Linked DNA regions of Arabidopsis thaliana. The protein of the gene in region 2 interacts with the protein of the main gene of each other region in a pairwise test. Each region holds a gene or a part of one and is shown on either strand. Other genes may lie near its edges.

Evidence for each region. The genes of interacting proteins can lie anywhere in the genome.
Region 1: the proteins of AT3G09690 (region 2) and AT3G10260 interact in a two-hybrid assay, tested with the Arabidopsis thaliana proteins (one large-scale study listed by BioGRID).

The regions. Positions count from the first base shown.
Region 1 is NC_003074.8:3,170,701-3,174,754, forward strand, and holds AT3G10260 (Reticulon family protein), read right to left. Parts: upstream 2,293-4,054; 5' UTR 1,869-2,292; coding exon 1,628-1,868; intron 1,554-1,627; coding exon 1,373-1,553; intron 1,289-1,372; coding exon 1,147-1,288; intron 1,045-1,146; coding exon 975-1,044; intron 883-974; coding exon 713-882; 3' UTR 522-712; downstream 1-521. Other genes in the region: GYRB1 (DNA gyrase subunit B), read right to left, coding at 3,105-3,173, 3,268-3,398, 3,584-3,689, 3,773-3,826, 3,916-4,032.
Region 2 is NC_003074.8:2,970,220-2,975,382, forward strand, and holds AT3G09690 (alpha/beta-Hydrolases superfamily protein), read left to right. Parts: upstream 1-1,593; 5' UTR 1,594-1,797; intron 1,798-1,954; exon of another isoform or gene 1,955-2,064; 5' UTR 2,065-2,136; coding exon 2,137-2,551; intron 2,552-2,809; coding exon 2,810-3,001; intron 3,002-3,098; coding exon 3,099-3,338; intron 3,339-3,452; coding exon 3,453-3,670; intron 3,671-3,768; coding exon 3,769-4,023; intron 4,024-4,109; coding exon 4,110-4,373; 3' UTR 4,374-4,624; downstream 4,625-5,163. Other genes in the region: AT3G09680 (Ribosomal protein S12/S23 family protein), read right to left, coding at 68-72; AT3G09700 (Chaperone DnaJ-domain superfamily protein), read right to left, coding at 4,875-5,031.

The sequences.
Region 1 (4,054 bases), 200 kb from region 2:
CTTCGAATCGATTTCGTCTTCAAATACAACCGGATCACATCAAATCAACAACAATAACAAAAAAAAAAAAGAACATCAAAACGATCAAGAAAACAAATTCGATTAGCTTAAGAAACACAAATTTCATAAGCAAAAGAGCACCTTTAATCGGAGAAGATTCGAGAGAGAAAGAGGTGGAGATGGAACCTAACCTCACTTTGTTGATCGATCGTGGATCAATTTCTTTACTCCATTTTCTTTGATTTACTTCTTTTTATATTTCTTTCTTTTAAATTTTTTAATTTTAACATTCAGGCTTCGAAGCTCAGGAAGCTGACACGTGTAAAATGTTTGACAATGGTGGATCCCATACCTGTAGAGTTATCTGATCTTCTTATTAGCCAGCCGGTCAATATTAGTCAACGATTCTTACGAAATAAGAAAACCATACTTTTGATTTGTGAAATAATTTTGATTCAAACTTGTTTTAAGTCTTACATTTTTAGACATTGAGTTAATGAACTCTCAATCTACTTGTATAATTTTGACAGATATGATGATTCTCTTATTAACCAAGGTATTGACAAATACATGGACAAGGTATTGTTTAGTAAGGAAATACACAAAATCTACATGAATGAATAATATTCTCAAAACATTCATTTAGCAAACCATAATCCATATTGTTCTAACAACAAACAAGGTAAAATAAGAAAATGCTTGAGTGATTTAGTCACTCACGCTTCTTTAATCCAAACTTTCCACTTGGGATTCTACTGAGAAACCCAGTATCAAGCTTCTTGTAATGACTATGAAACTTCATGATCATAGAATCCATAAAACCATCCACTTCGTCTTCGTATCTCTCATACAGAACCGGCATTGTGTGTGCCCCAACAAACCCTTCACACACACACATAAAATGCATCCCTTTAAAGTCTTGTATTACTCAACTTCCAATCTCAAAAGAGGATACACTAATAAGAACCACTCACCGATATACAAAACAGTTAGGAAATTGCAACAGCTCCCGACCATTGCAGCTACCCATAGTCCGATTACAGCCTGAAAAATGATATTGTGATCAAAGTTTCTATCTTAGCATAGTAATGAAAGTGCTAATACATTATACAAACAAGATTGTGGTTATTGAAACAAACAACGCACCATGAGGAACTGTTTCAAATTCCCTTTACAAGCCAAGTCCTGAAGAAACAACAAACCGCGGTTAACTTCTTTTCCAACGGCCACACCGACTTCAGCAAAGAAATCCTTTGGAAGAACTAGGCGAGGCACTCTAGACTGTGAGCTGCTTTGAGACATTAAAGGACATTGTGTTAGATTGCAATCACAAGGTACCAATAATAATGACAACAACACTCCAACAAGTTACCGGTTTAAGAATCCAGAGGCGTTAGACCAAACGAATTGTGCAATCATACCAAGCAAGAGGGCATAGCAAACGAGAGACAGGAAATGGAAATTGATCCATTCAAAAAGCACCCAAATTGCGGTAGCTCCCATCAAAACACTTGCAGAGATCTTCTTGTTCCTCCATAACAACACATCAGCAGCTGAAGGAATCTCTCAATACTCAATTACAAGAAAAACCAATCTCATATTTATGTTCCTGTATACGAATTCTTACATTTGCCACCGCCTAAGACATGATGAATTGGCTTCTGGCGATCAAACAAACGGTTGAAACGAGAACTGACGGAATCTTCTTGTTCGAAGAAGGAGGAACCATGTTTGTTCTTCTGAACAGTCTCCGTGAAGTTATCCACCAAATCACCGATAACGTCCTCTACGATGTTCTTGTCAGGCATGATTCTGAAACACAATCGAAATCTGAGATTGCTCAATTTGCAGATGAAAGTTGACTTCATAAAAAATTGAATCTTTTGATCAGTTCTTCATACCCTAAACCCAAAACCATTTCGAGTAATCAAATTTGGTCTTAACAGTTCGTTGGTGATAATTACAATGATATAAAACTTAGATCTTAGTATATTTGGCGAGAAGACAAGAACAACAAAAAGACCAGAAATTGAAGAGCAAGAACGAGACAAAGATGAAGATGAGTAAGAGTAAACCTGTAGGAACTGGAGAAGAAGAAGAAGAAGAAAAACCTTGGTTGTTCTGTGAATTTCACCCAAAAAAAGTTGCTTTCTTTCGTTGAAGATTCTCTCAATCACGAAGAAAGATGGAGGGCGGAAGTGAAACAAGAGATGGGATTGGTTGTGTCGAATAATTGAATTACAAAAAAATGTTTTTTTCAAAATGTGGGCAAATGTTGGAGTAGTGTGTAGTAATAATGGATAGGACTTGTCTTCCCACGTGTAGCTCATGACAATAAACAAATTATTTTTTAAGAAGTATTATTGGACGCCAAAAAAAGAGTTGAAACGTATCGTTTGTATTTGCAAGACAAACAAAAAGAAGTTTTCTGAGTAGATTTATCAACCGTTACAAGCCTTGTTGAAAATAAAAAAATTTCATTTATTCAATGAATTAAAGTCACACTAATATGGTTGACTGGTTGTTACATGCGTGATGCGTTCATAACACTGCTTTAGGTTGTTCAGGAAGAACAAAAATCATGTTTAATTCACTATATACCTACCAAATCGAAAAATAAACTTGTTAATTATCGATCACTCTGCGATCGCTAGTAAAACATCAGTCAAAACTTAACCTCGAATACAATTAAAATCAATACAACAGGCAGAGAAGATATTCATTGCACAATAGTTACCTTCTCATCTTCCTTCTAATCATTAGTTTTAACTTCGTCGCATGCATGATTTTCAGGAATGCCAAATTGTTGAAGTCATAATATATAGTAAATACCTAGTGAATGCAAATTTCTCTTGTCTCTAGAAAAATTCTAGTTCCAATGGAAAGAAACGCCCAACAAAGAGCCTTGTGAATTGCTAAATTTTGACATTGAAAGAGATAATCCTAACAATGAATTTTGTCCTTTATAGGCCAGAAGAAGAACAAAATCCTGTTGGCCTGTGACTATATGATTTAACCTTGAAATGATGATGTCTCCCTTTGCATTTCACCAGAGTCGTTTCTTTGTTGTTTGTATATAGCTGAAGCAATAACTATAAGCTGTGTTATATGTCGAGATTCTCCAGATTCATCCTAGTCGCAGCACTTTTGATGAGTTCCTTCCTGACATCGACCTGAAACATACACAGAACATAACATTGTCACGATGAGTTATGCCAGTTTATTGACTATTATCATGAGTCCGAGTCTGGCAATTCATTGGCTTACCCGAGCACCCATCAGAGATGAGAAGACCATATTCGTTTCTGCTGCGTCGTCAACAACTAGTTGCTTCAATATCCTTGTATCTGGATTCATCGTTGTTTCCCATAGCTGCGCAGGCATCATCTCACCCAAACCTGCAGATGCAAAAGCAAGAAACATTACATAGAATCCAATAGTTGAGACTAATCTAGATTTCGTTATGCACACACTCAAGAGTATCTTAATAGCTAACACATAACAACTACTATACATTACTTTTCATAGTTATTTATCCTTTCCAAAAGAACACATTCATGATGTGAGAAGTAGGATGTTTTACCTTTGAACCTCTGAATGTTGTAGGATGCGTTTCCAGGGAACGAAGCAGTGATTTTTTTAAGAGCTGCATCATCGTAGCAGTAGTGCGCCTGTTTCCCCCTCTCAACCTGATCGTTTTCACAGAGAGACTAGCTTTAGAAAAAAATTCCGTTCAATCTGAAGCATAAGATTATAGATACTAAGAGCTTACCTTGAAAAGAGGTGGAACACCAACGTATATGCAACCCGCGTCAAACAAGGCTCTCTGTAGAAAGTAAATTTCATTAAATTTCACATAACTCAATCAGCAATCAAGGCTACTTCAACTAATGTTTTATCAAACTAAACTAGTACCTGATATCTGAAGAAAAAGGTCAACAGAAGTGTCCGGATATGTGCACCATCAACATCTGCATCTGTTAAGATGATAATTTTATGGTAACGCAGATTCTCCTTGTTAAAATCTTCTCCCTGAAATAAGTTTTATGTCAAA
Region 2 (5,163 bases):
AAACACGATCACTTATAAGCGGAGAGATGAGACTGAAACATAAAGAGTCTAAGAGAGGATACCGTACCCCATGTTGACGACGGCGCGAGTGAAAAAGTCGAGAGATGAGCTGAAACTGCTAAAGGCGCGACGTTTTAAGTTCGTGAGAGATTGAAAAACCCTAGTGATAAGAAAATAGGTATATATAGGCTTGGGTCAAGACTCGTGAGAGCCCTGGTTTAGGCATTAACCGGTCTGCAATGAAATTGATTAAACGGCAAATGATTATTTTTATATTTGGGCTTAACAAGAAGGCCCATCACATGTCAACCCAAATATTATGCCAACTCCTTAAGGTAATAATACGGGAAAAATGTCGTTTTATACGTGAACTTTAAAAAATGGCCATTTAATACGAAAATTTTTGTGTGGCCAAATAAAACATAATAAAAACGTTGACCGGCCGTTTCACACAAATATTATTGTTGACTACGCCAAAGTCTCCATGCCGTTATCTTTCATTAACGGATCCGTTAATTCCGTTAACACATGTTAATTAGTTTCCGTCAATACTCAAAACGACGTCGTTTTATTGAAATCAAAAAATCAAAATTCCTAAAATTGATTTCAAAATCTCTAAATTCCAAAAAAACAAATCCTTAATTCCTAAATTCCAAAAATCAAATCCCTAAATTCTAAAAACCAAATCCCTAACAGCCTCTTATTTTCAGCAATTGGTCGTCGTAATAGTCATCGTCGTAAAGATCCTCAAGAGAGCTAAAGAAGGGCCTTCGCTTTGATGTTTCCTCCTTGTTCATCATCGATCTTGTTCCTCCCCCTTCGTGAATTCAAACGAACAACTGCTGTCAATAGTCGAATGTTATTATTCATATTCAAATTGGTTCTCATGTGTGTGTGTTCGTAACATTTTATTCACAAGACAACAAAACAAAAACAGGGAAACTTCCAACATGATGAAATAAGATTATGAGAGTGAGAAAAGAACCTTGGACAACGGGATTGAGATTCCTAAAGAAGAACATGATGTTGCCATGTGAAGCAGATGGATTGAAGAAAAATGAATTGGATTCCATTTTGGAATTTAGGGATTTTGAAATCAATTTGGGAATTTTGATTTTTTGATTTCAATGAAATGACGTCGTTTTGAGTATTACAGGAAACTAATTAACGTGTGGTAACGGAATTAACGTATCCGTTAGAAAAAGATAACGGTATGGGGATTTTGGCCTGGTCAACAATAACATTTGTGTGAAACGACCGGTCAACATTTTTATTATGTTTTATTTGGCCACACAAAAAATTCACGTATTAAATGGTCACTTTTTGAAAGTTTACGTATAAAACGACATTTTTCCCGTAATACCGTATACGCTGCATTGAAACATTCCAGTCCTAGTCACGTGCACGGTGCACCTACTAGCCCACGACTCCCACACTATCCGCCACGTCAGAAAACGAAACCGGTTGTAGCAGGTAAAAGGCACACAAAGCTAAGCATAAGGAAGCGCGCGACACGCACCGGTTCAGCCGGTACTCTGCGTCGATAAACGACATGCAAGACCGTCCATTTTCTTAAAAAAGCGATCTTGATCTGACGGTCCTTATTTGTTTATTCAACCGGTAAAATACAAAAAAATCAGGAAAAGGATCGTGGATCGTCAATGGCGGACTGGAGTAAATTTCTTTGACAATAACCAGTCCTAAATCAAGGTAGAATATTGCAAAAATGTTCAATGGAAGAAGATAGATTGGTGACCATGATTATCAACGACGTCTAAGCTGTTTCTGCGTCATTTGGTAAGTGAAGCTTTTGTCTCTTTCGATTTCTCTAATGCAAAAAAAAAGGGAGAAAGATTTTGATTCGTTATTGAAATTATTCTCTTTGAGTTATTTTAATTAGAAAGAAGTAATTTTTATATATATTTGTCAAGAAAAAAAGTGAGCTTGAAGTTCACGCTTGTAAAGGTGTCAGTTTTGCAGCTCATTATCGCCATGTTCTTCTCTCTCGCGCTCTTTGTGTTTTCTTCTCTTTGCTCATAAGAACCCACTTTAATGTATGTTCAGGTCTTCTTCTTCTTCGTCTTGTTGCTCTGAAGAGTTGGTCCTGACTTGGGATTTAGGGATTTCGTTTTGATAATGGAGGAGATGCGAAGAGGAGTGCCTACGTGGCAAGACGAGTTAGCTAGTCTCATGGACGGAGGTTTACAATACGACGGATCTCCGATTGATTTGACGGCGGATACTGAATCGAGGTCAAAGAGTTCGGGTTTCGAGTCGGGTTCTGGATCCGAATCAGTGGAGAGTTTGAAAGATCAAGTGACGGGGTTTATGAAGTCTTGGGGAGAAATGCTTATGGATCTCGCAATCGGATGCAAAGACGTTGTGCAGCAGATGGTGGTGACCGACGACTCTTTCGTTGTAAGGAAGCTCCGGAAACCAGCTGCTAAGGTTTCGAAGAAGCTTAGCTTCCTTAACGAGTACTTGCCTGAGGATCGTGATCCTGTTCATGCTTGGCCTGTGATTTTCTTCGTCTTCCTCCTAGCTCTCACAGGTATATTATCAAACAGTTTTCTGGTTTTGGATCACCATTATGTATCTGCAATGCCACACTCTTATAATGAACAGTTATTCAAAATGTCTGCTAGAAAACTGTGTATTGGGATGAACCTTATAGAATTTTTTGAGGTTGTTGTATGTAGTTAACTTGATTCTGCTTAGATATTGGTTTAAGTGGCAGTCTTGAATAGATTCTCGTTGGTGCAAGAGAGGCTTGTATCCTTACTCTGACATATCCAACTTTTAAGTGCAGCATTGAGTTTTAGTTCAGACCATGATAGATCTGTCCCTTTGTTGAAGAAAATCCGTCTGCATCCTACTAGTGCAAGCCGTGTACAGCTTCCAGATGGTAGATATTTAGCTTACCAGGAGCTTGGTGTTTCAGCTGACAGAGCTAGACACTCTCTAATTGTTCCTCATTCTTTTCTTTCCTCTCGGCTTGCAGGTATGATCAAATAAGCTCCTTGTTTCAGCTTCAGCTTACTTTTAATGATGCAATTACATCTGATTTGCTTCTACTGTTTCAACATTATCTTATCAAGGTATACCTGGAGTAAAAGAATCATTGCTCAAGGACTATGGTGTTCGTCTAGTGTCATATGATCTTCCAGGGTTTGGAGAGAGTGATCCCCATCGTGCTCGGAACCTTAGCTCATCTGCCTCGGATATGATTGACCTAGCTGCTGCTCTAGGGATTGTTGACAAGTTCTGGTTACTCGGCTATTCCAGTGGTAGTGTGCATGCCTGGGCTGCAATGAGATATTTTCCGGACCAAATAGCTGGTACCTTCAATTTTTTGGATAAAATTTGAAAATTCACAATTCATGGCCAACTCATGTTTTTCACAGAATGACACAAAATAATATGGGAAGGTATTGATTTTTATAAATCTACAGGAGTTGCCATGGTAGCGCCTATGATAAATCCATATGAGCCAAGCATGACAAAGGAAGAGATGGCAAAAACGTGGGAGCAGTGGCAACGAAAGAGGAAATTCATGTACTTCTTAGCACGTCGGTGGCCAAGTCTTCTTCCTTTCTCCTACCGTAGGTCCTTTCTCTCTGGTAATCTCGAGCCGCTGGATAAGTGGATGTCAGTGTCATTAGGAGAAAAGGTAAGTCTGTATTCATCAAGTGTTTCTTCCCAAGGTTTTGAGTCTTTGTGAGTTATGGCTCACAAGCTAAACCTGTATACACCACTTTTCTATTTCAGGACAAACTTGTAACCGCAGATCCAGTTTTTGAAGATCTTTACCAAAGGAATGTGGAGGAGTCTGTACGCCAAGGAACTGCAAAACCATTTGTGGAAGAAGCCGCATTACAGGTATCAAATTGGGGCTTTAGTCTTCCCGAGTTCCACATGCAGAAGAAGTGTAGAACCAATGGCGTCCTCTCTTGGCTAATGTCAATGTACAGTGAATCCGAATGTGAACTAATTGGTTTTCGGAAACCTATACACATATGGCAGGTTTGTTGAAATCACACTTAAAACCGCCATCTACAAGATCACCTTTGTCAAGTTGTGAGTTACTCATTTTGCTTGTGGTCACATAGGGTATGGACGACCGAGTCACTCCACCTTCAGTGACAGATTACATTAGTCGAGTCATACCAGAAGCAACGGTACATAGACTCCCAAACGAAGGCCACTTCTCTTACTTCTATCTCTGTGATGAGTGCCACACGCAGATCTTTTCGGCCATATTTGGAGAACCAAAGGGCCCGGTAGAGTTATTGGAACAAAGAACGGAAACCCATAGACCGGATCAACCAAAGACAGGTTTATCTGACAGTAGCTCACTACCAAAGAGTAAGTAAAAAAGAACTATAGGAACACGTTGTTCTTGGTCTTCGTTCCATTATGGAGAAATGTGTAAATAACACCAAGAAGATGATTTAGTCCTCTGCTTTGGTTGAAGATTTCAGATTCTATAGGTTATAACAAAGCAGAGTTCATTTTGAGAGTACATTTGGCACTGCAAAGAGTGCAAGTGAAAGAACATTTTATTAAAGCGGCTATCCCTTAATTGGAAATGCAATATTTTTTTCTTCTTATAGTTTTATGTTTGAACAAAACCAGAATCCGACTAGACTCATTTTCAGTTTGGTTTATATATTTCTCACGCTGAAAAAGTTAAATACCCACGTTATACATCATCATGATAAAAAAATGAACTAGACCAATAACTTGGAACTACATGGCTTGATAGGATCAATCAATCTAATGGTTATTGCTTAAAGAGAACGATCTAGACTAACTACTCGAAACTAGGCCACATGGCTTTGTGGTTGGGATCAATCGACCTCACCCAAAGGGTTTCAAAACGCAGAACCAGAGTTCTTGGTTTTTCCAAGCATCATGTCTTTGGCTTCATTGATCTTAGACGCAAGGTAATGGCTTCCTCCTGCATCTGGATGATTAGCCACCATCACTCTACGGTGAGCTTCCTTCACCTTCTCTGCCGCTACACTCTCCCTATTCAAACACCACAAGTGACAAACTCATCAAGCCATAATAATGTCGCAAAAACCACCACTAAACATATGCAAACCATTTACCCTTGTGTAAGAACATAGTTTGGCCCCTATGCAAACTTGTTAAAAACTA